3 linked regions of the Callithrix jacchus genome follow. The protein of the gene in region 1 interacts with the protein of each later gene in a biochemical or structural test. Links are inferred from orthologs where the notes say so. Each region holds a gene or a part of one and is shown on either strand. Other genes may lie near its edges.

Evidence for each region. The genes of interacting proteins can lie anywhere in the genome.
Region 2: the proteins of NPPB (region 1) and NPR1 form a complex in vitro, tested with the Homo sapiens proteins (2 studies listed by BioGRID). The link is inferred for Callithrix jacchus from reciprocal best matches to the Homo sapiens genes NPPB and NPR1.
Region 3: the proteins of NPPB (region 1) and NPR2 form a complex in vitro, tested with the Homo sapiens proteins (3 studies listed by BioGRID). The link is inferred for Callithrix jacchus from reciprocal best matches to the Homo sapiens genes NPPB and NPR2.

What each region holds. Positions count from the first base shown.
Region 1 is NC_133508.1:49,739,250-49,746,852, forward strand, and holds NPPB (natriuretic peptides B), read right to left. Parts: upstream 3,655-7,603; 5' UTR 3,566-3,654; coding exon 3,434-3,565; intron 3,209-3,433; coding exon 2,953-3,208; intron 2,410-2,952; coding exon 2,396-2,409; 3' UTR 2,189-2,395; downstream 1-2,188.
Region 2 is NC_133519.1:14,100,509-14,108,758, reverse strand, and holds the start of NPR1 (atrial natriuretic peptide receptor 1), read right to left. Parts: upstream 5,433-8,250; 5' UTR 5,012-5,432; coding exon 4,291-5,011; intron 3,655-4,290; coding exon 3,455-3,654; intron 2,938-3,454; coding exon 2,824-2,937; intron 2,268-2,823; coding exon 2,132-2,267; intron 1,157-2,131; coding exon 1,065-1,156; intron 282-1,064; coding exon 146-281; intron 1-145. UniProt on the Homo sapiens protein: Receptor for the atrial natriuretic peptide NPPA/ANP and the brain natriuretic peptide NPPB/BNP which are potent vasoactive hormones playing a key role in cardiovascular homeostasis.
Region 3 is NC_133502.1:142,690,943-142,699,260, reverse strand, and holds the start of NPR2 (atrial natriuretic peptide receptor 2), read right to left. Parts: upstream 5,433-8,318; 5' UTR 4,601-5,432; coding exon 3,934-4,600; intron 3,118-3,933; coding exon 2,912-3,117; intron 1-2,911. UniProt on the Homo sapiens protein: Receptor for the C-type natriuretic peptide NPPC/CNP hormone. Has guanylate cyclase activity upon binding of its ligand. May play a role in the regulation of skeletal growth.

The sequences.
Region 1 (7,603 bases):
TAATCCCAGCACTTTGGGAGGCCAAGGCAGGCTGATCACTTGAGGCCAGGAGTTCGAGACCAGCCTGGCCAATATGGTGAAACCCCATCTCTACGAAAAATACAAAACTTAGCTGGGCGTGTTACACACCTTTACTCCCAGCTACTCCAGAAGTTGAGGTGGGAGAATCGCTTGAACCAGGAGTCAAAGGTTGCAGTGAGCCAAGATTGCACCACTGCACTTCAGCCTGGGTGACAGAGTGTGACCTGTTTCAAAAAAAAAAAAGGAGTTTTTGTAAGGACTATCTGACTATGCCTGGTACATGAATGAGGACTTTATGAATATTAACTATTCTAATTATTCATTGCTTTCCCTGGGTCGTTAGACATGACTCACAGTTGGTGAAAAATTAGACATGACTCACAGTTGGTGAAAAAATAAGCTGCCCCTAAAACCTCACTTTTATTTATTTTATTCTCTTTTTTGTTTGTTTTCCGATACAGGATCTCCCTCTGTCACCCAAGCTGGATTACAGTGGTACAATCACAGCTCACTGCAGCCTCCCTGCTTCCAGGCTTAAGCGATCCTCCCACCTCAGCATCCTGAGTACCTGGGACCACAGATATGCACCACCACACCCAGATAATTTTTTTCGTTTTCGTTTTTTGAAGATATGGGGTCCCACTATGTTGCCCAGACTGGTCTTGAACTCCCGGGTTCAAGCCATCCTTCCGCCTCGACCTCCCAAAGTGCTGGGATTATAGTGTGAGCCACTGTGTTTAGCCTAAAACCTCATTTTTGAACAATTTTTTTTTTGAGATGATGGATTTTCACTCTTATCACACAGGCTGGAGTGCAATGGCATAATCTCAGCTCACTGCAAGCTCTGCCTCCCAGGTTCAACTGATTCTCTTGCTTCAGCCACTCGAGTAGCTGGGATTACAGGCACACAGCACCACGCCCAGCTAATTTTTGTATTTTTAGTAGAGACAGGGTTTCACCATGTTCAGGAGGCTGGACTCGAACTCCTGACCTCAGGTGATCCACTGGCCTGAGCCTCCCAAAGTGCTGGGATTACAGGCAGGAACCACCACGCCTGGTCTAAACAATCTTAATTTGTGTCATTAGCTATTCATAAATCCTCAGTTGCACCCTGAGTTAAAATGATAAATAACACAAAAACCCACCCTCTAGTTCCCTTTCATTCAAAGAAACATCCAATGAGAACATCAGAAAGGACTTGAGAGTGAAATTCGAGGCCAGGAGTGTGGGGCTGAAGAGTCAGAGAGCACAGGCTCAAGAGTCACCTGGATCTCTGCTCAGTCCCCAGCACCAGCGCTTAGTGGCTGTGTGCTCTTGGGTAGGATGCTTGCTTTTCCTGGGTCTTTGTTTTCCCATTTGGAAAATGGGCATAATAATAGTGGACCTCATGGTGCCTTACCCCTCAGCTGAGCTGGAATTATAAATGGCATTGTGAGAAAGGGAATGGCATGAGACCCTTCCCAGGAATCTGAAAGCAGAGGAACTCAGCACTGTGGGAAGCCTGGATTGCAGGGTGTGTGGGAAGAGGACCCATAAGAGGAGATTGCCCCCCACTGGTTAAGGCAAAGAGAAGAACTGATACAGCCCTGGGGAGGAGCACCCTGGAAAGCTGGGCCAATCGCCAGACCCTCTCACTTTGTGGGTTGGAGTTTTGAAGGCTCCTTTGCAGGATGACACCAGGAATTGGAGTTTAAAGCTGAGATTTGGGGCAGGATGGAGGGCTCACCCCCATAGAGGAATGCAGATAAGCCACACACAGAGACACACGCACACACTGCCCCCAATCACTGACATTTTAGCTGAGACACGAAAACAATAATCCCCAGGGTAAGTGCTTTAATGGTGGGATTCCAGGAAGAGCAAAAAAGAGTGGAGAAAATGGCTGGGCACCTGCCCTCAGGTTGCTCAAATACATCAGGGCCATTGCACACCCAGGAAGAAACTGTCCTGCTTTGAAAAGCCATTTCTCCCAAGTGCCTCAAGTGTTTGCAATATATATGAACATTTCAGAGCATTAAAAACCCTGAAAGAAAAGAAAGCCTGCTACTCCCGGGGCCGTGTCCCCATCCGACCATGAACATGCCTTGAGATCACAGGGCTTTGTGGTTTTTGTTTGGTTGGTTTCTTTGAAATGAGGGATTCGTTGTAATGCACAGAGACAAGTCAGTTTCAAAAGATAAAGCTTATGATGTTGACTTTATTTCACCATGGAAATTTTGTGCTCAAAGTTAAGAAACCATCTTATATAAAACAATCAAATAAATACATAAATACATAAAAATAAATAGGAGTCACTTCAAAGGTGGTTGCAGGGTTGAGGAAAGAGCCCTTTGTGGAATCAGAAGCCAGTAGCTGCAGCCAGGACTTCCTCTTACTACCACCTCAGCCCTGCCAAGGAAAGAGAAAGTGATGATGGTTAGGGTGAGAAAAGGAGGCAGGGGCTGAGCTTCCCTCACTGTGTGCCACCCGCCACGCTTTTTAGTCATCAGACGTTTGAGGCTTAATCCAACTCTCTGAGCCTCAGTTTCCTCATCTGTAAATCGGGGATTATCATCACTCTGGTGATCCTGCTCTCTGCCTTTGAGACTATAGACAGTTTAGAGGAAACCAGGAGGAAATGTTTGGTTCTTTTTCTGCACCACTGAGAGGCTGCCAAATGATAAACAGACCCCAAGGGAGATTCTGCCCCTTTGATAAGAGAGGTAGGAGGTGGGGAGAAGGTATTGCAGGCATATTAATGAATGAGGCCCACATTTACTAACTCCACAAAGACAACCCTTGGCCCTGCAGGCTGTTAACAAGAGGAAGTGATGTCCAGGTGTCCTTTTCTCAAAGAGTGTGGTGCCTAGAGACAACAAACCCTGAAGTGACTCTAACAGCATCACACACTGGAATGGGGGCAGGCGGGAGAGATGGCAAGGGGGTGCTCACTTTTACAGCCCAGGCCACTGGAGAAGCTGATCCGGTCCATCCTTCGCCCAAAGCAGCCAGTGTCTCGCATTGGCTTGAGGCTTCGTGGTCCCCGCAGGGTGGAGAGAACCAGTTTGCGGAGCCCAAAGATGCCCTCCGTGGCTACCTCACGGGCCTTCCAGACAGCTGTGGGATGAGGGCTCTTCTGGAGAGGCTCCAGGGATGTCTGCTCTGCCTGCAGCTCTGAGAGTTTGTCCTGCAAATGGCCTTGCTGCTCCTGCAATGGATGGGGGAGTCCAAGACTCAGGGTCCCACCCCTGGGCTCACCAGCCCTTCATGGCACCCAAGTGAACTGACTGCCTTGGGTCCTGGCACCCAGTCTCTCCATTTTCTGATTCCTTTATCACTAATTCCAAAGGGACGGTGAGGGTCTCTTGGGACAGCAGGTGGGGACCCTTTCACTGCTGCTGTCCAATCTCCCTGAGTTGCCCTCTGCTCTCACCTGTAACCTGGACGTTTCCAAGTCCGAGGGCAAAGTGGGGCTACCCAACGGGTGGGAATGACCTCCAGGGAGAGCCAGGTGCAAGAAGAGCAGGAGCAGGAGCACCCGGGAAGATGCTGTCTGGAGATCCATATCTCTGGAGGGACTGGCAGAGGCTGCTGCTGCGATGCGTCTGAGTTTGCTTCCCACCTACCCTCAGCCTGCTCCTCGTGGCTCCTCCTGGCTCCTCGGGACACTGTGGACTTTTATCCTGGAGCTGATTGTCCGGCTGGCCCTGCCCTGCAGGGTTATCTCTGATTTATCAGCCACATTCCTGGCCGCTGAGATCAGGGCCCGGGAATGCGCCCCTCTGCGCCTGCCACGCGGGAGGTGGAGATCCGGCAGAGCAGGCCTTGTATAGAAGTGGGCCAGGCCGGGCCGGGGGCGGGAGCGCCCTGGAGACACTGACAAGTCCCAGCCTCACGCTTCTTCCTTTCCTGCAAAAGTCCAGGTGTCCTAGGTTGGCGCTTTCGTCTTGCCTCCACACCCCACCGTGGCTGGAAAAGGCAGGGAGAACCCCGGCGTTCCGAGGCCAGACGTGAGCGCGGGGCTCACAGGGTGACTCAGAGCGAAAACAGCCCGGGCCAACACCCCGCCACCCACGGCGCGTCTCCCCTCCCCTCAAGAGTTCCCTGGCCCGCACGTAGCGCAGCACCTGCTCGCCGCTGCTGGTCCCCGGGGCGCCCTGGCCGCTGTCCGTGGTGCTGATAGTCCCGAGGGTGCTCTGTGCAAACTCTCAAGAGCTGCTCTCTTCAACCGAATTTCCAGGCCAGAAAGATCTGAATGGAGCAGGAACAAGAGACCTCTAAGACCCTTCCCTATGATCTCACAACCCCCCATCCCATAACCTTTACAGCAACGGGACGCTGATTCCCGAATGGCAATGCATTAAAAGCCTGGGTATGACCAGGAACTTCTGGAATGCTGACCCTTCTTTCACCCCTGAAAGGGAAGAGCAGATTTCACTGGAATTTTGAGAGACAGGACCCAGTAATGATGAAGTGATCCAGGAATGCCTCATATGTGTCTCTTTCAGGTGTCAACACCTCCTCTCCCCGACCAAGCCAACACTGGATAGAAACAGAAGGATGGCTGGAAAGATGGTTATCTGTTTGCTGGGACACCAGAGATATTCAGAGCTTCCCTGCCCCAATGCCTTCTTCATCTGATCACCCATGAACTAATTCTCATTAGCAGGTGATCTGGGCCTCCTGTCTGTGATTTGAAATGAGACTCTGAAGAGAAATGGTCCTGGGAAAAATCACAGCAGCTTAAATACCCACCTAAAGCATATATGACCAATGTTACTCCCCTTCCAGAGAATCTGTGCCAACAAGTAGCAGGGTGGAGGAGTGGCGCTGTCTAGGAGGAGAGATGGTTATGGCAGAGAAGGACAGCAATAAGAAACTGGGACCTCCAAGCAAATCTTGCCTAAAAAGTAGCATCTGCCCCTCAAGTGAGAAAAGTATCATTATATTCCTCATTTCAGACCAGAAAATGGCGCTCATGAATACATCTACTTTCTAAAAGTCACCCAACTGGCACATGATAAAGCCCGGATTCCAACCCCAGGCAGTCTGATTCCAGACCTGAAGCTTATAATCTCTGCCAGAGTGATCACAAGGTGTTTCTACAAAAAGCAAGCTTAGATGAATCCCCGGTCATCTGTGAAGGCTCTGAGAGCTGTGCTGTGGGGGATGTGCAAGTCTGGTGACTGTATGTGCAGGAGAAAGGATGGGAAGTGGCTCAGATGAGATTTTGAAGATGAAATGAAAATGGGGGTGGGTGGGTAAGGGCTGTGTAAAGACACCAGTGCTGGAAATGTTCTGGGGGCTGGGGTAGTTGTGTGTGTGTGTGTGTGTGTGTGTGTGTGTGTGTATGCATGGGCATACCACAGGGAGAGTCTCAAAAGGCTAAGAGGAAGTCAAAGGGGTAAGAAAATTCATCCAAGTGCAGAGCTGAGTCAGTGAGTGTGAGGCTGCAGAGAACCCCTCATATAAAGGGTTGGGAGCAAGGCAGGATTCATCAACCAGCACCATCAAAAACTGACTCTGCATCTCGCTGGAGTCTCACTTTGCTCTTCAGCAAAATGGACAGTCCTTGCGAGGACCAAAAGGAAGAACATAATTTCTGCAAAAGCCCGTAGCACTGCAGAAAGGGCCAAATAATCAAGAATACATGAGAGTTGGTCTTTATACTGAAGGAGATTGTGATCTCATTGGGGAGACACAGTGACCCCAGGTGGGACAATTAAATGTTTAAGTGTTGTACACTCTGACAGAGTTTCTATATAACCCCAGTGGAGGGAATTGTGGAAGAAGACTTGAGGGAAGGCATAGGACTAGACAAATCCTCCAAGGCCTGCTGTCCCGGGAGGAGACAAGTTGTCAATCAACTCTCACACCAGATCAGCCCCATCAACACTACAGAGGTCCTGACATGTGCTATGTGTTTTCCATGTCTCTTCAATGAAGCTAATCATACCACCTCTGTCACAGCATTAATGTGCAAGGATTAAACTTGATGATTTCATTGGTAAGGTGAATAATAGTCCCCAAAAGATGTCCACATCCTAATCCCCAGAACCTGCGAATATGTTACTGTACATGGTAAAAGGACTTCCCAGGTGTGGTCATGTTAAGGATCTCAAGGTAGAGAGATTCTCCTGGATTATTCAGGAGGGCTCAATGTCATCACAAGGGTCCTTATAAGAGGGAGGCCAGAGGATCAAGGTCAGAGGGAAAAAATGTTAGGTGGAAATAGAGGTCAGAGAGGAAGGAAGAAGCTACACTGCTGGTTTTGAAGATAGAGGAAGGGGCTGCAAGCCAAGGAATATAGTCACCCTCTAGGAGCTGGAAAGGGCAAATAAATGGATTTTTCCCTAGAGCTTCTGGAAGGAACATGGGCCTGCTAACACCTCAGTTTTAGTCCAGTGAAACAGATTTCAGATTTCTAATGTCTGCAATTAGAAGAAAAGAAAATCATGTTCTTTTAAGCCAACAAGCTTGTGCGACTTTGTTTCAGCAGCAATGGGAAATTAATATAGTATATGTCAAATGCCAGGCATAGGGTCCAGCCCATGGTAAGCCTTCAGTAAATGTTGTTGTGGTAGTAGAATTTGTTCCCCACCAGTGTCCAACCCTAAGTGCTTAATCTAGCCATAGAGAAAAAAAATAAGACCCTTAAGTCATTCAACAAACTTTCATCAAGAGCCTGGGGTCAAAGTAGTCCACAGCCAAGACTGAAGTCAGAGTCTGGGGCTCCATTTCACATCAATTTCTTGCTACCTCTGTGTTCTTGGGCAAGTTGTTTCCTGTCTCTCCTTGTTTTCTCATTTCTCTACCTCAGGGTTGTTGTGAGCATAAAATGAGACTGCACAGGTGAAAATTTAATATTTCTGCTGGAAGCTGGGGATGCATAAAGGACAAGAAAGTCCCTGCTCTTGAGAAGCTTACAGTGCAGGGGGAAAGGTAGGCACATCACAGGCTCCCCAGGCTGACACAGTGAGTGACAGATACAGCAGCAGTGAGTCCTGGTTGCCCTGTGAGCACAGCAGGAGTGTGCAGCAGAGAAGGGAGCTTGCTGGAGAAGGTGGGACTGGGCTAAGGCTTTGAAGGATAAGAATGAGTTAGCCAAAAGAAGGAAGACAGAAGATGGGGAGTGCACTCTGGGCAGAGCAGATGCACAAGCAGAGGCTGGAAGGGCTGCTTAATGGATCGGCTACCACCACTAGGTTCTCTGCAGAAAGAAGAAACTGTGCAGAACACAAGGTTTGACTGGTCAGTGAGCACGACTCCAGCTGCAAGATTTTTCTGTAGCTTCCCTCTGGCCTCAGTCTCCAGCCCAGTCTTGGGCAGCCAAAGTGAGTGGTATGTGAGCACTGAGCACCTGGGGGAAGGTGAAGGAAGAAGCAGAGGAACACGGACTCAGGAGGCAGGAGGCAGGCTCATCTCTGCCCGCGGCTGACGCACTGCGTGGCTCTGTTCCGGGGATTCTGCTCGGGTTGCTTCTCTGTTCTGGGATGGTTTCCCTTTGTGCAGAATGAAAGGATTAGACTAAGGTTTCTGCCAGCCACAAAATCCCTAACTGTAATAAATCAACTCATTCTATTCTTTTTTTTTTTGTTTGTTT
Region 2 (8,250 bases), on another chromosome or scaffold:
CTGGGATGATGGATGAAGGGAAGAAAAAGGCAGGAATCATTCTCAAGAAAGCCCTCATCGAGGGAGAGGAGCACCTACTCAACTGTGCTTAGGGGAAGGAGGCTGCATCTCTGGGATGGAGACCTGGAAGGCGAGGGCCAGTCACCTTGGTTGCATGCTGGGTCTTCGTTGTCAAAGCCACATTTGGGGACGTCGGGAGGAGGGTACCCCAGGGGCCAGCTCAATTTGCGCCCCGACACAGCCACCAGCTCTTGGGAAGTCCCATTGTAGTTCAGTACAACCTATGGGAGAGCAGGAGTGGTGGCTAGGCCAGGGCCTGAGGGGAAGGCTGCTGTGTAGCACAGCAATGTCACCTCCTACCTACCCCAGCTCTGCTTCCAGAGCTTATATATGTCTGGGTTGTCACCTGTTTACCAAGCCCCTGCTGCAACTGGATACTGGACCTCATACCACACACGTATTATTCAAGTGGAAACACCTGACAACTATCAAGAATTTTTACAAAGAAAACTCCATATAGAACCCAATGTCTACACTCAGGGAGTTTATAATCTTGGTTGAGGCACCAACCAAGCATTGATTTTTCTCTACCTATTTTCTTGGTAGAAAACAGAATAAGGCCGTGTTCACCTCAGCCTACATCCCCAGGCCCAATCCATGTGCCCCTCTTCCAGGAAACCTTCTCTGGATGACCTGTCCCTTGCTGCCATCGGTCTCAGTGGCTTCCTGTCCTCACTCACTTGTAGAGGTGTGTAATGTGCATCCTTTGTGACCCTGCCTCTGCTGGGAGGCGGTCCTGCCTGCTTCCCTTCGGAGCTCTCTGAGGCCAGGGTTGTGCTCTCTCCTCAGGCATGGGGCTCCCCAAGTGTGATGCCTGTGGGTCCCTATCGTTCTGGTGGCTTTCCCAGACTGGAGCTGGGTCTGTCTTATTCAGGGCTCTCGTAAGTGTCCAGGCACGGTAGAGTGGCTACAGGATAAAAGGTGCCCTGGTAAGGCTGTGGGGGGAAGTAGGAGGGTGAGATGCCATTTGGAGTTGGCACTGTCTTCTGGGTGCACAAACTTACCCTGAAGGCACCAGTCTCGGGATCCATATCCCAGAGGGAGAAGTCTGTTTCCCGATCACCACTGCTATCAATTTTCAGGTGTCCTGTCACACCTGAGGACACAGGGGAAGATGACTGTGTGGGAGAGAATGGAAGTTCAGCGGTATCCCACTTCATCTCTTCATCCTCTCATCTTTTTTGCCTTGCCTTCCAAACATACATGCATACAGAATGACAGTAAATGGTAAAAGGGCCGGGCACTGTGGCTCATGCCTGTAATCTCAGCGTTTTGGGAGGCTGAGGCAAGCGAATCACCTGAGGTCAGAAGTTTGAGACTAGCCTGCCAACATGAAACCCTGTCTCAACTAAAAAAACCTGCCAGTGTCCTCCTCCATCATCAGGAAAGACATGGAACAATGGGAAGGGAGGGAGGGTGATAACTGGGAATTGGGAAGGATGGAAGCTGGCAGAGGATCGTGGAGTGGGGGCTCAAGTTCCACGCTGGAGGGTCCCAGAACCTCTGGCTCTTTATATGTAATGATTTTGGCAGCCTGAGGAAGGGGTCAGTGGAGAGCGGAGAATTGGGAGCTGACTCTATGCCCGCAGTACTGTGGGGCCCCAACAGTCAGGAGCCCACCTCCCAGAGCTAGGTCTCTGCTTAGCTCAAGGTCAAACAGGACCCTATGCTCTGCAAGAAGTGATGCCCATCCCCCAAAAATACAAAAAATTAGCCAGGTGTGGTGGCGGACACCTGTAATCCCAACTACTCAGGAGGCTGAGGCAGGAGAATCGCTTGAACCTGGGAGTTGGAGGTTGCAGTGAGCTGAGATCTAGCCACTGCATTCCAGCCTTGGGAACAGAACGAGACTCCATCTCAAAAATAAAATAAAATAAAAGGATCCAGTGCCCAGCAGGGATGATTGAGGTTGGACACTCAGTAGGACTTCTGGAGGGATGCGCCTGAGAAAAAGCTGTGGAGGAAAAGGCTGGTGTGCACTGGTGACTCTGTGCTACAGACTTCTCACGACAGTGGGCACCTGGGATTCATCCCCCAAGGCTGCCCATTCCAGCCACCTCAAGGCCCTGACCTTGAAAGCTTCGGTTCCACATCCGCTGAGTGATGTTCTCCCCATCAGTGACAGTTCCTCCATGTGCCAGAGTCTCCGTCACTGCCTGGACATAGAGCAGCAGCCCATCATGGAAGGACGCTGGGATGGTGTTCACCTGTGGGGGCAAGCAGAGGTTGGCTGGGGTGAGGTGAATGAAGGGCATGGAGTTGGGGGCTGTGGGGAAGGGAATGAGAGGCACTGGGAGTTTGGAAGAGGATAGGAGAAAATAACACCCCTACATCACTGGGAGATTTTACTATTTATTTATTTTTGTTGTTGGTACCAACAGACTATTTAGATTTTACTATTTAAATGATGCCTTTGGATTAGCATCGCTTCCTGAATCACACTAGGCACACAGGGCGGGATGTATCATCTCTGTATTATGGATGGTAACCTGAGTTTCAGAGGCTGAACTTGCCAGTGTCCTCCTTCATCATCAGGAGGAGGCACTGATGATGCCTTGGAGTTGGCCCTGTCTTCCGGATGCACGAACTTACCCTGAAGGCACCAGTCTTGGGATTCACATCCCAGAGGGATAAGTCGGGAGAGACATGGAACAATGGGAAGGGAAGGAAGGGGAGAACTGGGAAGAGGGAATGGAGGCTGGCAGAGGGTCGTGGAGTGGGGGCTGAAGGTCCACGCTGTAGGGTCCCGGTACCTCTTCTTACCAGGCCGTCCTCCATGGTGAAGTTGAACTGCTCCCGGGCCAGGTGTTTTAGCTGCTTCAGGAATTCCAAGTACTCGGGATTATCTGGTTCTTTATATGTAATGATTTTGACAGCCTGAGGAAGCGGTCGGCAGAGAGCAGAGAGTTGGGAGCTGACTCTATCCCCGCAGTACCATGGGGCCCCAACAGTTAGAGCCCACCTCCCAGAGCTGGGTCTCCGCTTAGCTCAAGGTCAAACTGAACCCTATTCCCCGCATGAAGTGATGCCCATTCCAAAGCAGGGAATCCAAAGGGATGGCTTCTCCAAGTCCTGTCCAGACAGTGGGACTTTAACCTCCTCCCCTCTAAAGCCCATTTTCTTCTTTTTAGCCTGCTGGTGCTCAAGCGCCCCGGCTAGTCCCCTGCCTTTCACTGCCTAATTCCCAGAGAGCATCACCAACCACTTTTCTGTTCTGTGAGTTACCATGAGTGCATGAAGAAACAAACAGACCAAACCTTTTTTTTCTGGAATTCTTTCAGACACTGAGGGACACAGTGCCCAGAAATGACGTGCCACAAGCTGAGATGGCCTGAGCTTCAAACCTAGGTACTAACTTCAAACCTAGGTACTCACCTCAAACCTAGGTACTCACCTGAAAGGCTTGGCGGGCACTGACATCCTGCCCATCTCCTCTCTCCCAGGGCCTGCGGGGAACAGGGCCCTGTCCACCTTGCAGGCTTTGCCCAAAGATATCCAGGTGAAAGAAAACGTAGTCCTCCCCACTCAAGCCAGCTTCCAGGGCCAGAAGCATAAGGGCTCTGAAGGCATCAGGCGAGCTGCAGATGTAGATAACTGCAGAAAAAGGAGTATTCAGAGAGAGAAGCCTAGGTACTGTGGGAGAGACAGGGCTAGGAAAGCGGAGGCACCGAGGGGAGGAGGTTAGAGATGGGGGGCAGGAGAAGCCCGGTGAGAGTTAAGTGGCAACCCGGCTCAGCCTAGACCACGGCAGGGCAGGAGAAAGACGAAGGGTCGAAGGCGATGTGGGGGGCGGAAGAGAGGAAGGGACAGATATGGAGAGGGGAATAGTGGAGCTGAAGGTAGAGAAGGGTGGGGCCAGGAGGGCGACAGGAGCGAGGGCGGGGGGCGGTGCGGAGAGGACTTTGAGGAGCGACGGGAAGAGAGGATGAAGGTGGGGAGAAGGCTATAGGGAAGCGAGAAAATGCGGGAGATAAAAAGGGACCGGAACTGAGCTTTGCCAGGGTTGGAGGGAGTGAGTGGGGGTCGGGGAGGTGAGAGTATAGAGGCGCGGTGCAGGGTGGCTAAAAAGAGAGGGAAATAGAAAACTCCGCAGCAGAAAGGGCCTAGGAGCTGAGAGGGGAATGAAGACCGGGGAGGAGAAAGAAGAGTGGCCCGGACGAGAGACGAGAGTGGAAGTCAGAGGGGAAGCCCTGCGGCGGAGCTGCGGGACCCGGTGCGCCCGCGTCTCACCTCGGCCTTTGCGCGGCACGGTCCGCAGCAGCCTGGTGTAGTGGCCGAGGTCGTTCTCGGCGAACTCCAGGTGGTCCACCGTGATATTGAGGCGGTCGCGGACACGCATAAACAGCCCCTCCACGAGGAAGAAGCAGTGCTCGTCGTCACCCGGCCGGTAGGCGTAGAGCATGAGCGCCTGGCGCTCCCAGCCCAGCCGTCGGTGCAGCGCCGCCACGAAGTCGCCCAGCTTTGCGTAGCTGGGCCCCGCGCGGGTGGTCAGCGCGTACTCGTCCTTGACACCGAAGCCCAGCGCCGGGGCGCCGGCGGTCAGCAGCGGCACCCGCCAGTGCGCGGTGAAGCGCCCTACCGGGGCGGCGGCGTACACGCAGCCCGGGCCCAGGAACACCGCGGGGTTGTGCTCCCACTTGAGGTCCACCGCGGCCAGGGGCGCGGCGGTGTCAGAGCAGACGCCCAGCGCGTTCTCGCTGCTGCCCAGCACCGTGCGGACCGTCCAGCCTGGCAGCAAGTCGGGGCGCGCCTTCACCCGGGCCAGGGCCAGCTCCACGGCGGGTCCCACGCGCGCCCACGACCACGGGTACGAGGTGTTGGCCAGAGGCAGTACCACGGCTATCGTCAGGTTTCCCGCGCGGCTGCCCCGGAGTAGCAGCAGCAGCGGCGGCAGCAGCAGGAGCAGGAGCAGGCGCAGGCGGGAGCCGGCGGGACGCCGGGGCCCCGGCATGGCCTCAGCGGGCACCGCAGCGGGCGAGCGCTCCCACCATGGCCTCCTCCGTCCCCTACGGCTCAGCGGCTGGTCCCAGGCATCAGGCGCGTCCCTATGGGAAGAATTATGAGCGGGACAGGGGCGCTCACCCCGGGGTACGAGGCCCCCTGTAGCTACGACGGTCTGGGCGGAGAGCGCGAGGGGCGCGATGGAGGGGGACGCGCAGGGCGCCGCGGAGCAGGTGGGTGCCAGGAGAACGTCAGGCCAGAGGACCCGAGTGTGAACAACTGGGCTTGTGCGTGCGTGTGTGTGTGTGTGAGAGAGAGAGAGAGAAAGAGAGAGAGAGCGCTCCGTGGAGAAGGATGGGAGAAGGCCCGCGAGGGAGGGAAGAGGAGAGTGTGTGTTTGTAGCGTGCGTGCGCGCCTGCCTCGGGGAATGTGCCAGAAGGGGCGTCCGGCCGGCCCAAGTCTCCGGCTGTCCGGAGGGAACCGTGGAGGACCCGAGCCAAGCTCCGAACCCTCCCTCCCGGCCGCTTCCCCTCCCAGACTCAGTGACAGAAGAGCCAATCCTGGATCTTTAACTCCTTCCTTCCCGCCGTCCAGCCCGTGCGCTTCCCGGTGGATCCTCTTCCCAGGTCTCGGCTGCCCATGCCTTCCTCCTCGGACAGGACCCTCTGAAGGTGCGCCCTCGCCGGGATGGAAGGTAGAGCTGAACGGAGCGTGTGTGTGGAAGCAGCCGGGGCCCATTTGCGCCCCACCTTTTCGCTCGCCTCCTATCTGGTTTTCTCCGAGGAAGAGGGAAAGATGTGCTGGTTTGGGATCCCGGCAGGAAACTGTGAGTGCGTGGATGTGTGTGTTTGGGAGTCGGTGCAAGGTGCCGGGTTTCTGGAAAGGGCCGTGAAAGTTGAAGGCGAGCCCAGAGTGCTTGTTACCCAGCCCTTCTATGATCCCGATCTCTTTCCCTGACTGCCATCTTCCAGATTGTGCAGATTCGCCGTGAAAAAATGAGCTCGTGTCAGGGCAGAATTAAATCTTTAGGGCTCAAATTTTAGGAAGCTGAGGAGAGCGGGTGGGTGACTGGGAGAGAATAGTTTCATACTTCAGGGCCTCCCCCAGAAATGACTGTTTTGTGTTGAGGGTTGTTAAAATGAAGGCTGTAGGAGATGATGTTGGAAATAATCATTGGAGGCCTAAATTGGGGAGTGGGTTTTGGGGCACTTGACAGCTGGTGCCCCGGTCCAGACTGCTGTGGAATCAGTGTGCCCTCTAATGGTCATCAGAAGTCACTGACGGCACTGCAGCGCCAACCTCTCCAAGGCTGCGCCTAAGTAGGACATAAGATCAGCAAACTTCTGGTCAGCAAACATTTCCAGATAACCTTCTGTGCTGTCAATCACAAGCACCCACTAGGTGCCGAGGGCATAAAGATGAATCTATATATAGTTCGTGCCTTTGAAGAGCTCTGTTTGGAACAAATAACCGTAATGCAACATGCATGGGAGACATGGATAAATTGCTAAACGACTCAGATGAGGGCTATTCATTCTGCTTGGATTGGGGCCGGAAAATCTCCAAAGAGAAATAATTCAACGAGGACAGAAGGATGAGAAAGGTATTCTGTGTAGACAGAGCAGAATGTTGAAGTATATTGCCTATGTATGGAATTTTAGGAGACTTGAATATTCTTTTTTTTGAGACGGAGTTTTGCTCTTGTTACCCAGGCTGGAGTGCAATGGCACGATCTTGAATCACCACAACCTCTGCCTCCTGGGCTCAAGCAATTCTCCTGCCTCAGCCTCCCGAGTAGCTGGGACTACAGGTGCACGCCACCATGCCCAGTTAATTTTTGTATTTTTAGTAGAGACGGGGTTTCACCATGTTGACCAGGATGGTCTCGATCTCTTGACCTCATGATCCACCTGCCTCGGCCTCCCAAATTGCTGGGATTATAGGCATGAGCCACTGCGCCCGGCCCTCTTTTCTCTTTTTTTTGAGATGGGAGTTTTGCTCTTGTTGTCCAGGCTGGAGTTCAGTGGCCCAATCTCAGCTCACTGCAACCTTGGTCTCCTGGGGGTCAAGCAGTTCTCCTGCCTCAGCCTCCTGGGAATACAGGCACATGCCTGGCTAATTTTGCATTTTTAGTAGAGACCGGTTTTCACTGTGTTGGTCAGGCTGATTTCGAACTCCTGATCTCCGGTGAGCCACCCACTTCAGCCTCCCAAAGTGTTGAGATTACAGGTGTAAGCCACTGCACCTGGCTGAGACTTGAATATTCTTTTTTTTTTTTTAATTATTTTTTATTTTTTTGTTTTTCCGGTATCTTGCATTGGAAGAATACTCTTACCATCCAGAGCAAATTGTGGTCGATAGGCCAACTTGAGATGATAGGCATGCTTTGTTTGATTTGCATTCTCTCTACATATATTTAATTGTCCACACTTAAAAATCATAAGATGCCACATGAATATTTGGATTTATGATTTTTTTTTTTTTTTTTTTAAGATGGAGGTCTCCCTATGTTGCCCAGGCTGGTCTCAAACTCCTAGGCTCAAACGATCCTCCTGCATCTGCCTCCCAAAGTTCTGAGATAACAAGTGTGAGCCGTCAGGCCCAACCTGGATTTCTGACTTTTCTGAAAATATTGGAAGAACTGGCAGTATAGGTCCTGCATCCCTCCAGGAGCAATCAGCCAGAACAAGTATCCATTATCTCCTTGAAATGAGTCTAGTTCATCATGGTTCCTAGGCACCCTGCTTCACTTAGGTGCATTACCTGCCTGGCTTTGTAGGTAGGAGTTTGTGTTTTCAGCCCTGATCCAGGTTGTAAGGTGTGTGCATGTAGGATGACTGAGGAAGAGAGTCAGGGGAGAGGGCAGTGGAGGGAAGATAATGAAAGCTTTTGTGTGACAGGCATAATGTCCTTGTCCTATAATAGAGATGGCAGGTTCCAGAGATTATAGAGGTAGACAGCAGATGGAGATGAGGAGATGCTTTGTAAATAGAATCAGTTGAACTTTGGGAAGTGAAGACATTATACAAATAACAGGTCTAGGCGACGTGGACTCCATTAGTTGAGAAGCTGAAGGAGGAGGTTTTGGAAGGATGATACTTATAGTTTATTGGCTGTGAAGTGCCTGTAGACACTCAAGTGAAAATGTCTGATAGGCCTCAGACTAGTGGAACTGGAGCTCAGAAGAAATGACTGGACTAGAAATAGTTGTGCTTTTTTTTTTGAGATGGAGTTTCGCTCTTGTTACCC
Region 3 (8,318 bases), on another chromosome or scaffold:
TCCCCCCAGTTGCCAGTATCAATACAGCATGAGCTAGGGCCTTTCCTTGAGCATGATACCCTCCTGGAAAAGCTGTGGTCATCTGTGTCAAGGCGTCCTTTCCTCTATTGCCACATTTTCCAGGCTGGCCTGTCTGGGACCCCGGAGGGCCAGTGTCTCGGGCTCTGAGCTCTTTCATCCTTGGCTGGAGCTAACTGCCCAACTTCCCTCAGCCCCTGCTCTGCTTCCATATTGGAAGGTGAGAGCCGGGGGGGGGGGGCGGGGGCCACCTCATCATCTCTCATCCCCACCCACCCAAAGCCTTGACCTTCCCCTCAGCATATTCCTGGCTGCCTAGTTCCCTTCTCTTGTGTTGCAGCAAAGTCTCCCTCTTTATTTCTCTGTCTGAATAATGCCTACAGTGAGGGGGAGAACTGAGAGTTAATTGATATAACTGATTATTGGATGACTCGATCCCTCCTCTCCCTACACTTAATGCTGGGGACCCTTGGCTGGGCAGGAATTCTCACAGAAGAAAAAGAGGCTTTTCTTCCATAAGTAGAATACAGCCAGCCAGGCACAGTGGCTCACGCCTGTAATCCCAGCACTCTGAGAGGCCAAGACAAGAAGATCATTTGACCTGGGAGTTCAAGACCAGCCTGGGTCCACAACAGGACCCCATCTCACAAAAAATAAAAAAAATTAGCTGGGCATGGTGGCATATGCCTGTAGTCCCAGCAACTTGGAGACCAAGGTGAGAGGATTGCTTCAGCCCGGGAGGTCATGACTGCAGCGAGCAGCTGTGATCATACCACTCGACTCCAACCTGGGCAACAGAGCTGTCTCAAAAAGAAAAAGGATATAACCAGGAAACCTATGGAGTGCTCCCATCTGGGAGGGCCACAGATCTTCCCAAGTCCACACCAGCTGAAATACAATCTCCTCGTTCCTCTCTTTCCAGAGTACTCTATTCCTTTCCTTTTTATGTTTTAGTAACACATCACAATATGTTCCTACATTTGCATTTATTTTCTTACTTGTTTATTGTCTACCTATCCTACTAAATGTAAACCCCAAAAAGGCAGGAACTAAATCTGTTATGCTCTCCCTTGTATACCAGTACCTAGCACAGTGACTGGACATGATAGGTGCTCAGTAAATACTAATGAAATTAGTCAGCCTTCAAATAAATCAAACACTGACTAAATAATATGGTTATTTCTATGGTAGACGGAGTTAAGCAAAAGAGTAGGAAATTCCTACTTAGGGATTCTGGGATCATTTCCTAGAAAGGAAAATAAGTGGTATGAGTCTTAAAGAATATGGACGCATTACCCAGACAAAGATGAGAAGATTGTTTTAGGACAACATTATAGCATAAACAAAACCTGTCCTGCTGCTGCCCATATTCAAGTGTGACAGTCACAGACTCATTCTCAGGCATGCAAACAGCTATGTCATTCACAGACACACACTCGTCAGACACAACCGTATAATTACAGCTACATAAAACCTTACTCACTGGAGAAGAATGGCCACCCAGGTCCAGTCCTTACACACATCTACTTAGAATCAAATAATCCCAGAGTTTAAAGGACCTTAAGGTTATCCCATAAGCCACCTCCAATCCTTCTTGGAAAAAAGGAGGGATATGGATAAATACATGAGAAACATTTATATACACAGTTAGCAAAAAAGTGGCAGAGGAATCAGGGGAAGATCCATCGGTATGATTTTTGAGAGGCAGAGATTTGGGGTGAGGGAAGGAAGAGCATTCCAGACAGAAAGAAAAAGAACATAAAGGCACAGGGGAAGAGAGGCCAGGTGGGCTGCAGTTCTCAGCATGAGGGCACTAGGAGGTAAGACTGAAAAAGTGGTTTGTGAACAGACTGCAGAAGGTCTTAAATGTCACAATAAGGAGTCAGGATTTTATTCTCTAGAACACAAGTCACTGAAAGTTTTGAGAGGAGTGAAATGAACAGAGTCATGCCAACATTCCCTGCAAATTTTCTGAAATCTGAAATGCATTTCTCTCCATCCTGCTATCACCATACTAGTTCAAGCCACATCACCTCACCCCTTTTCTAACCTGTTACTGATGGTCTCACTGCCCCAAGTCTCCCGCTCTTATAATCCTGAATTCTGTCGCTATTGTATATTTATCTCCACAAAAAAAAATGTAAAGCACCCCAAATTCAAATCCTAGTGCCTTAAGACTTATAACTCTTTAATCTGATTATACCTTTGCAACTTTATTTCCTTTAAGATACCTTTGCAACTGTATCTCCTTTAAGTGAACCCTTTGTTCTTGTTGGGTATCTTCTTGGGTATCTTCTTGGTCTCCCATGGTCTCCCAAACACACCCATTCCTATCTTTTTCTCTTTGCTCAGGCAGCCTGGATCTCCTCTCCTACTTTATGAATATGACTTCTATCAGTAAAGTCACAATAGGGTCTCATTTCCTGTATAAAAGCCTTCCCTAAACACAACCCACATTGACTCTTCTGAGCCACTAAAGTTTATGCTGTCCCAGGACACATAATCATATCCTTTCTCAAACTTTGTCTGACTGTACCAGAATGATGCCTCACCTCTCCATAAAGTGTGGAAGTCCACCAAAGGGCTAGGAACAGATCTTTCCTGAACTTTTCTCCCCCACAGAACAGCCTTCTACTGGCACTTAGGAAAGTCAGTGTTTTAGGATTTTGGAGGCAGCCAAAGTAGGTCTTGGCAGCAAACACACTCTGAGTCACAAAAGTAAAGAAGAAAGAAAGGGTGACACTAGACTCAGAATGCCTCTGTTCATTTTACTCCTGTGGCTCACATTTTACTCCTGCCCAGTTCCTAGGGTTTCTGTGGGGTCTTGTGAGAGAGAGAATTTCCAACAAATCACCTCATCCCCCTCCTCCTTCAGATTTCGCTCAAATGATACCTGAAAGGCCTCTCTGAGGGCCTCAGCCTGTTCCTGGGTGCGATTGTCCTGCCAGGGCTGGCCTGTAGCACGTGTGGGGCCTGCACGGAGACTCTCCCCAAAGACATCCAGGTAAAAGAAGACATAATCCCCATTGGTCAGATTCTCCCTCTGGGCCTGAAGCAGGATCTCATGCAGCATCTCCAGAGGGCCGCAGATATACACAACTGGGAGCAGGTACATGACAGAGGAGCACCCTGAGAAAGTATCCAGGTCCCCCCACACCCCCTTCTGAATCACTGGGATGTCCCTCTTCAGCAAAAAAAAGAGTTCCCTAACCTATTAACTCCCAAGCAGATGCTCCCCAGCCCACCCCCTTGGAGTCCACCATAAGTACCCTGGGGCCATATGGACCATCTGACAGAAGTCAGAGCCTGTCCAGACCCCAGAGGAAGGGAACTGTCACTCTCAAGCCCCTCCCTTTCCCAGAGCCTCCCTTGCTGCTCCCTACCCAGGCCACCTAACTCCCTGACTCTCCCCTGCCCTTCCCTGGGCTCAAAGGCGCTAATAGCACAGATTTCTTAGTATGAGCTTTACCTGTCTTTCCCAAATCTGCCCATTCCCTGAGCCCATTCATGGAGTCCTCATTATTTTTACACCACCGAGGGGTCATGGAACCCAGTCTGGGTGGTAGCTCTGATCACAGACAGGTGAACATTTCAGAGGGGCCATCGATCACATTCACTACTCTAGGGTACTCACATTGTTCCCCAAACTCAATATCCCCCCACTTTCAAATTCCTCCCTGATAGGAGCTTCATACCTCATGCTCTGTCTTCCTAGTTTGCATCTGCCTAGGGTGTTCACAAGTGCCCGTCATGAAGACTTAACCCTCTCACAGGTGCTCTGTCCACATGTGCTTCTTGATCCCAACCACCACAAACAGCTGCTCAGTGCCTATCTCCATCTACAATTCCTCAGTGCTGAGCTTTAGGGACACAGCAACCCTCCCCTGACCCTAAAATAGCCCGGGCCACACTCACTGCGCCCGTTGGCCCGGATGAAGTGGGTGGCCTGCTCAGGGCCCCCTGGCTCTCGGGCATACACCTGGTGCTGCACACTGAGGTTGCTGCCCTGCAGGGCCTCAAAGACGCCCTCGATGGTGAAGTAGTGAGGCCGGTCATCTGTGCGAGCATCCAGATACAGCAAGGCGGCACGAGCAGTCCAATTGAAGTGCCCATGTAGTGTCACTACAAACTCACCCAGCTTGGGAGCAGAGGGGCCAGTGCGAACCAGGGTACGATAATGCTCATTCTTAGCTGCAAAACCAGAGGCCACAGCACCCGCAGTCAGCAGGGGAAGGCGCCAATGGGAGGCAAAGCGGGCCACAGAGGCAGCAGGATAAACGCAACCCGGGCCTAACAGCAGGTCAGGGTCATGGTACAGCTTGAGGTCCACAGCGCGCAGCGGTGCCAGGTACTCAGAGCAGGCGCCTTCCAGTTCGGAGCTGACAAACCGCAGGTCCACGGGCAGTGCCCGGCCCAGCGCCTCCACAGCTAGTGCCACAGCGGGACCCACCCGTGGCCAGGCCCAGGCATAGCTCAGGTTGTGTTCTGGCAGCACCACCGCCAGCGTCAGGTTCCGCGCCCCGGGAGGACGCACCCCACCTGCCAGGGCTGCCACCAACAGCAGGAGTGATGGCAGCGCCATGGGGATAAAGCAGCAGCCCCACCGCCCCCAGAACTTGGGGCTGCTCTGGCCTACAGGGGAGACGCGAGCACCACCCAGCCTGGAGCCTGGGGAAGAGGGCCAGGAAGAGAAGGAGGGGTGGGCTAGGTAGGCTGGAATGCAGAAGGTACAGGGGGCCAGAGAGAGGAAGGAGAGATGGGAGGAAGGCGGGAAGGGGGGGCGGGGGCGGGCAACGAGTGGGCTACCAGCCTCGGGCAAGGACTGAGGACTGACAGTGGGGTGGCAGGGGGAAGGAGTCACCGAGGGGGACTGCGCCTGGGATGGGGACACTGCGAGGCAAAGTAGCCTGATGAACCAAAGCTGAGAAGGAAAAGGGGATCTGGGACTGGGATGGGGTGGGGGTGGGGGGCGGCTGGTACAAGGAAACGGCCTGGGGGAACCTCACAGCTGAAGGGGCCAGGAGGGCAGGAAGGCGCTGCGACACATAGGACCAAGAGGGTAAGGTGGGAGGGTGCCCGCGCCGCGGAAGGACTGGGATCATGGGCAGGCGGGGAGAGAAGCGAGGCCTGGGCCGGAGGGCAGGGGAAGGCAGGGGTAAATCTCCCTGTGAAGGCTTCTCCCGAAGCTCCTGCTGGGACTAACGGGCCCGGGCGCTGGTCCCATCCGGAGCCACGGCGGCCCCGCCCGTGTCCCCGCTCCTCTCTGCTCCGCTTCTCCTGGGCCCTGGCGGCCGGCGCTGCCTCGCGCTTCCTCCCGCCCCCCGCCTGGGCCCCGCGCGCGCCGCTCGTCCGGGTCAGGTCGCCTCGGCCCGGCCCGTCTCCGCTAGCTGCGCCGGCGGCCGAGTGCGACTCCCGCGGGCAGGCCGCCCGCCCCCGCCCCTCCCCCGCCGCCCCTCCTCCTCCCTCCCGGCCCCACCCTCCGGCGCCGGCTGCCTTCCTCCACCCCCCCTCTCCCGGGCGCCCGGGACCGCTAGGTCCCAAACCCACCCCGGTAAGCACTTGGGGCTCCGCACCAGGGCGTCGCCGGCCGGCGGGGTTCCCGGGCGCTCCCTCACCCTCAGGGCCTACCCGGGTCTCCCTCAAGCCCCTGGTACCCCCGCCGCTCCACTTCCATCTCACACAGGCCGGCAACCCCAGGGCTTGTCCTCTTATTCTCGCTTAGCCCGCTCTTCTTAGGTCTCCTCTCCACTCCCTGAGTCCCTCAGGGGCTCTAGTCTCCAGGGAGCTGTCGAGGATCCCCAGACGTGTGGTGTCCTCACCAGGCGCCCGCCTAGCAAACCATATCACCCTCCCGACGGCAGAGCCACTCACTCCACCCGGGGCCATGCCCGCTCCCTGGACGGGCCCTCCAGCGGCCAGGGGTCCCCCAGCGGCCAGGGGTCCCCGCGCTACACTTCCCACCAATCCTTAGGAAGTCCACGAAGCTCCTTGTGGCTGGGAACTCCACCCTTGGCCCCCGCTGTCTCCATGCCCCCTTCCCTCCCGGTGTCCTCAGAGGCCCACCGCAGCCCGCCCGGCTTCCTCCACACCATCTGCTCAGTCAGGGCCTCGATTTTCTTTTGTCTCCTGCACAGCGCAAGCTGGCGCCTGGTGAAAGCCTGTAACGGACCAGCGGACACTCCCCGCAATGGAAGCCCATCCACCCACTCCTGGGGTTCCACCTTGCTCCCAGCCTTTCAGCCTTAGGAAGCTCTCCCCGGGGGCGGGGGGAGGGGGGAGGCCCATATCTGGAGTGCCAATCTGACCCCAGGAACAGCTTGTGAGGGATGATCTCATGGTGGCTGAGAGGGGCTTCTATGGGACCTTGGGGATTTTTCTCCAACTGTCATAAAGGACATGCATGTAAGCCCAATCTCTTCCCGTGCTGAGAGCCACGGTCTCTCTTCACCTTCGCGCTATTTCTCCTGAAATCACAAGCTAAGAGCGCTCCTGGAGCCCTGGAGTGGGGTGTGAGTGTAGGGTGGGGACAGGCCTGGTTTCTCTGAGATGAAGGCGACACCTAGTGGTTTGGGGGGGAAATTAAGGACAATGCCACTTTACCCTTAGGCACGATATTTATTGAACACTGGCTGCCTAGCACAAGCTGTACCCGTGAATACAAAGATAGCCGAATGATGCAGTCCTTACCTTTGAGGAACATACATTTGCAATCCCTGGGGCACAGAGGCCAAGGGCAAGCCGCCCCTGACAATGTCTCTTGCCTCAAGGAGAGTAGAGATGGAAGCCTTCAGACAGATCCTTCTTTAACGCAAGGGGTGATAACTCTAGTTCCAGGCTCCCAATACTGTAGTGAAAAGGAATTTCGTCCTATCTGGGCAAAGCAGAAAAAGGAAGAGTCAAAAGAATGATGAGACAACATGAGAAAAACTTTAGACCAAGTCAACCAAATAGAATAGTTGGGTTTTAAGCAACAACACAGTTTTATGAGATAAGCAAATCGAAAATGGCAAAATCCCTGAAAGAATTATAGTATGACAGGCCTAGGAGGAATCATATAAATATATCATGTATCCTTCTCATTTAAAGATACTTGAAAACCAAATCCCAGAGAGGAAGTTTGCAGTATCCTTACTTGCTCCTCTTCCCCAACCCCACATGGTTTTTTAGTTGCAAAAGAGAGATGAAAATGCAGGTTTCATGGTCTCCAAGGAGAGGCTTTTTACAGATATTTTGCTGACTCATGGAACTTACTGTAGAAAGCTGTGCTTACAGTATAATAGCTACCAAAGACCCATGTGAGTCTCTCTGGAACACCTGCAGCCCTCAGTGAGGATCAGCCACCACTACTACCACTGTCACACAGGCTCCTAAGCAAGTACAAGTACACGATGTGTCATTATTCTGAACACTGAGGACAATTCTTCATTATGTTAGGGATTAAACATTCAAGCATCTTGCCTTTCCCTCTTCCTTCCAATTGGCCACTTAACTAGAAAGTAGGAAGGGGCCAGGCACAGTGGCTAAAGTCTTTCTCATGTTGTCTCATCGTTCTTCTTTTGGCTCTTCCTTTTTCTGCCGTGCCCAGGTAGGACGAATGTCTGTAATGCCTGTATTCTCTATTTAAAAATCAAACAAATCAATTGGACATGGTGACACAAACCTGTGGTCCCAGTTACTTGGGAGGCTGAGATGGGGGGGGGGGATCACTTAAGCCCGGAGGACAGAGTCTGCCATAAGTCATGATCATGACACTGCACTCCAGCTTGGGTAGACCCTGGTGCAGTGGCTCATGCCTGTAATCCCAGCACTTTGGAAGGCCAAGGTGGGAGAAGCAAAGGAGTTTGAGAACAGCCTGGGCAACATAGTGAGACCCTACCTTCATAAAATATAAGCAAGTAAGGCCAGGCATGGTGGCTCACACCTGTAATCCCAGTACTTTGAGAGGCCAAGGCAGCCAGCTCATTTGAGGTCAGGACTTCGAGACCAGCCTGGCCAACATGGTGAAACTTTGTCTCTATTAAAAATATAAAAATTAGGGTTGTGGTGGTGGACACCTATAATTCCAACTTGGGAGGCTGAGGCAGGAGAATTGCTTGAATCCGGAGGTGGAGGTTGCAGTGGACAGAGATCATGCCACTGCACAACAAAGCGAGACTCCATCTCAAAAAACAACAACAACAAAATAAAGTAAAAACTAAAAATAAAATTTAAAAGATAAAAAGGAAGTGGGAAAGAGTGGGGATATAAAAGTTAATCCTCAAATGAGGTATTTTATTAACACCCAGGTTTTTGGTGTTTAT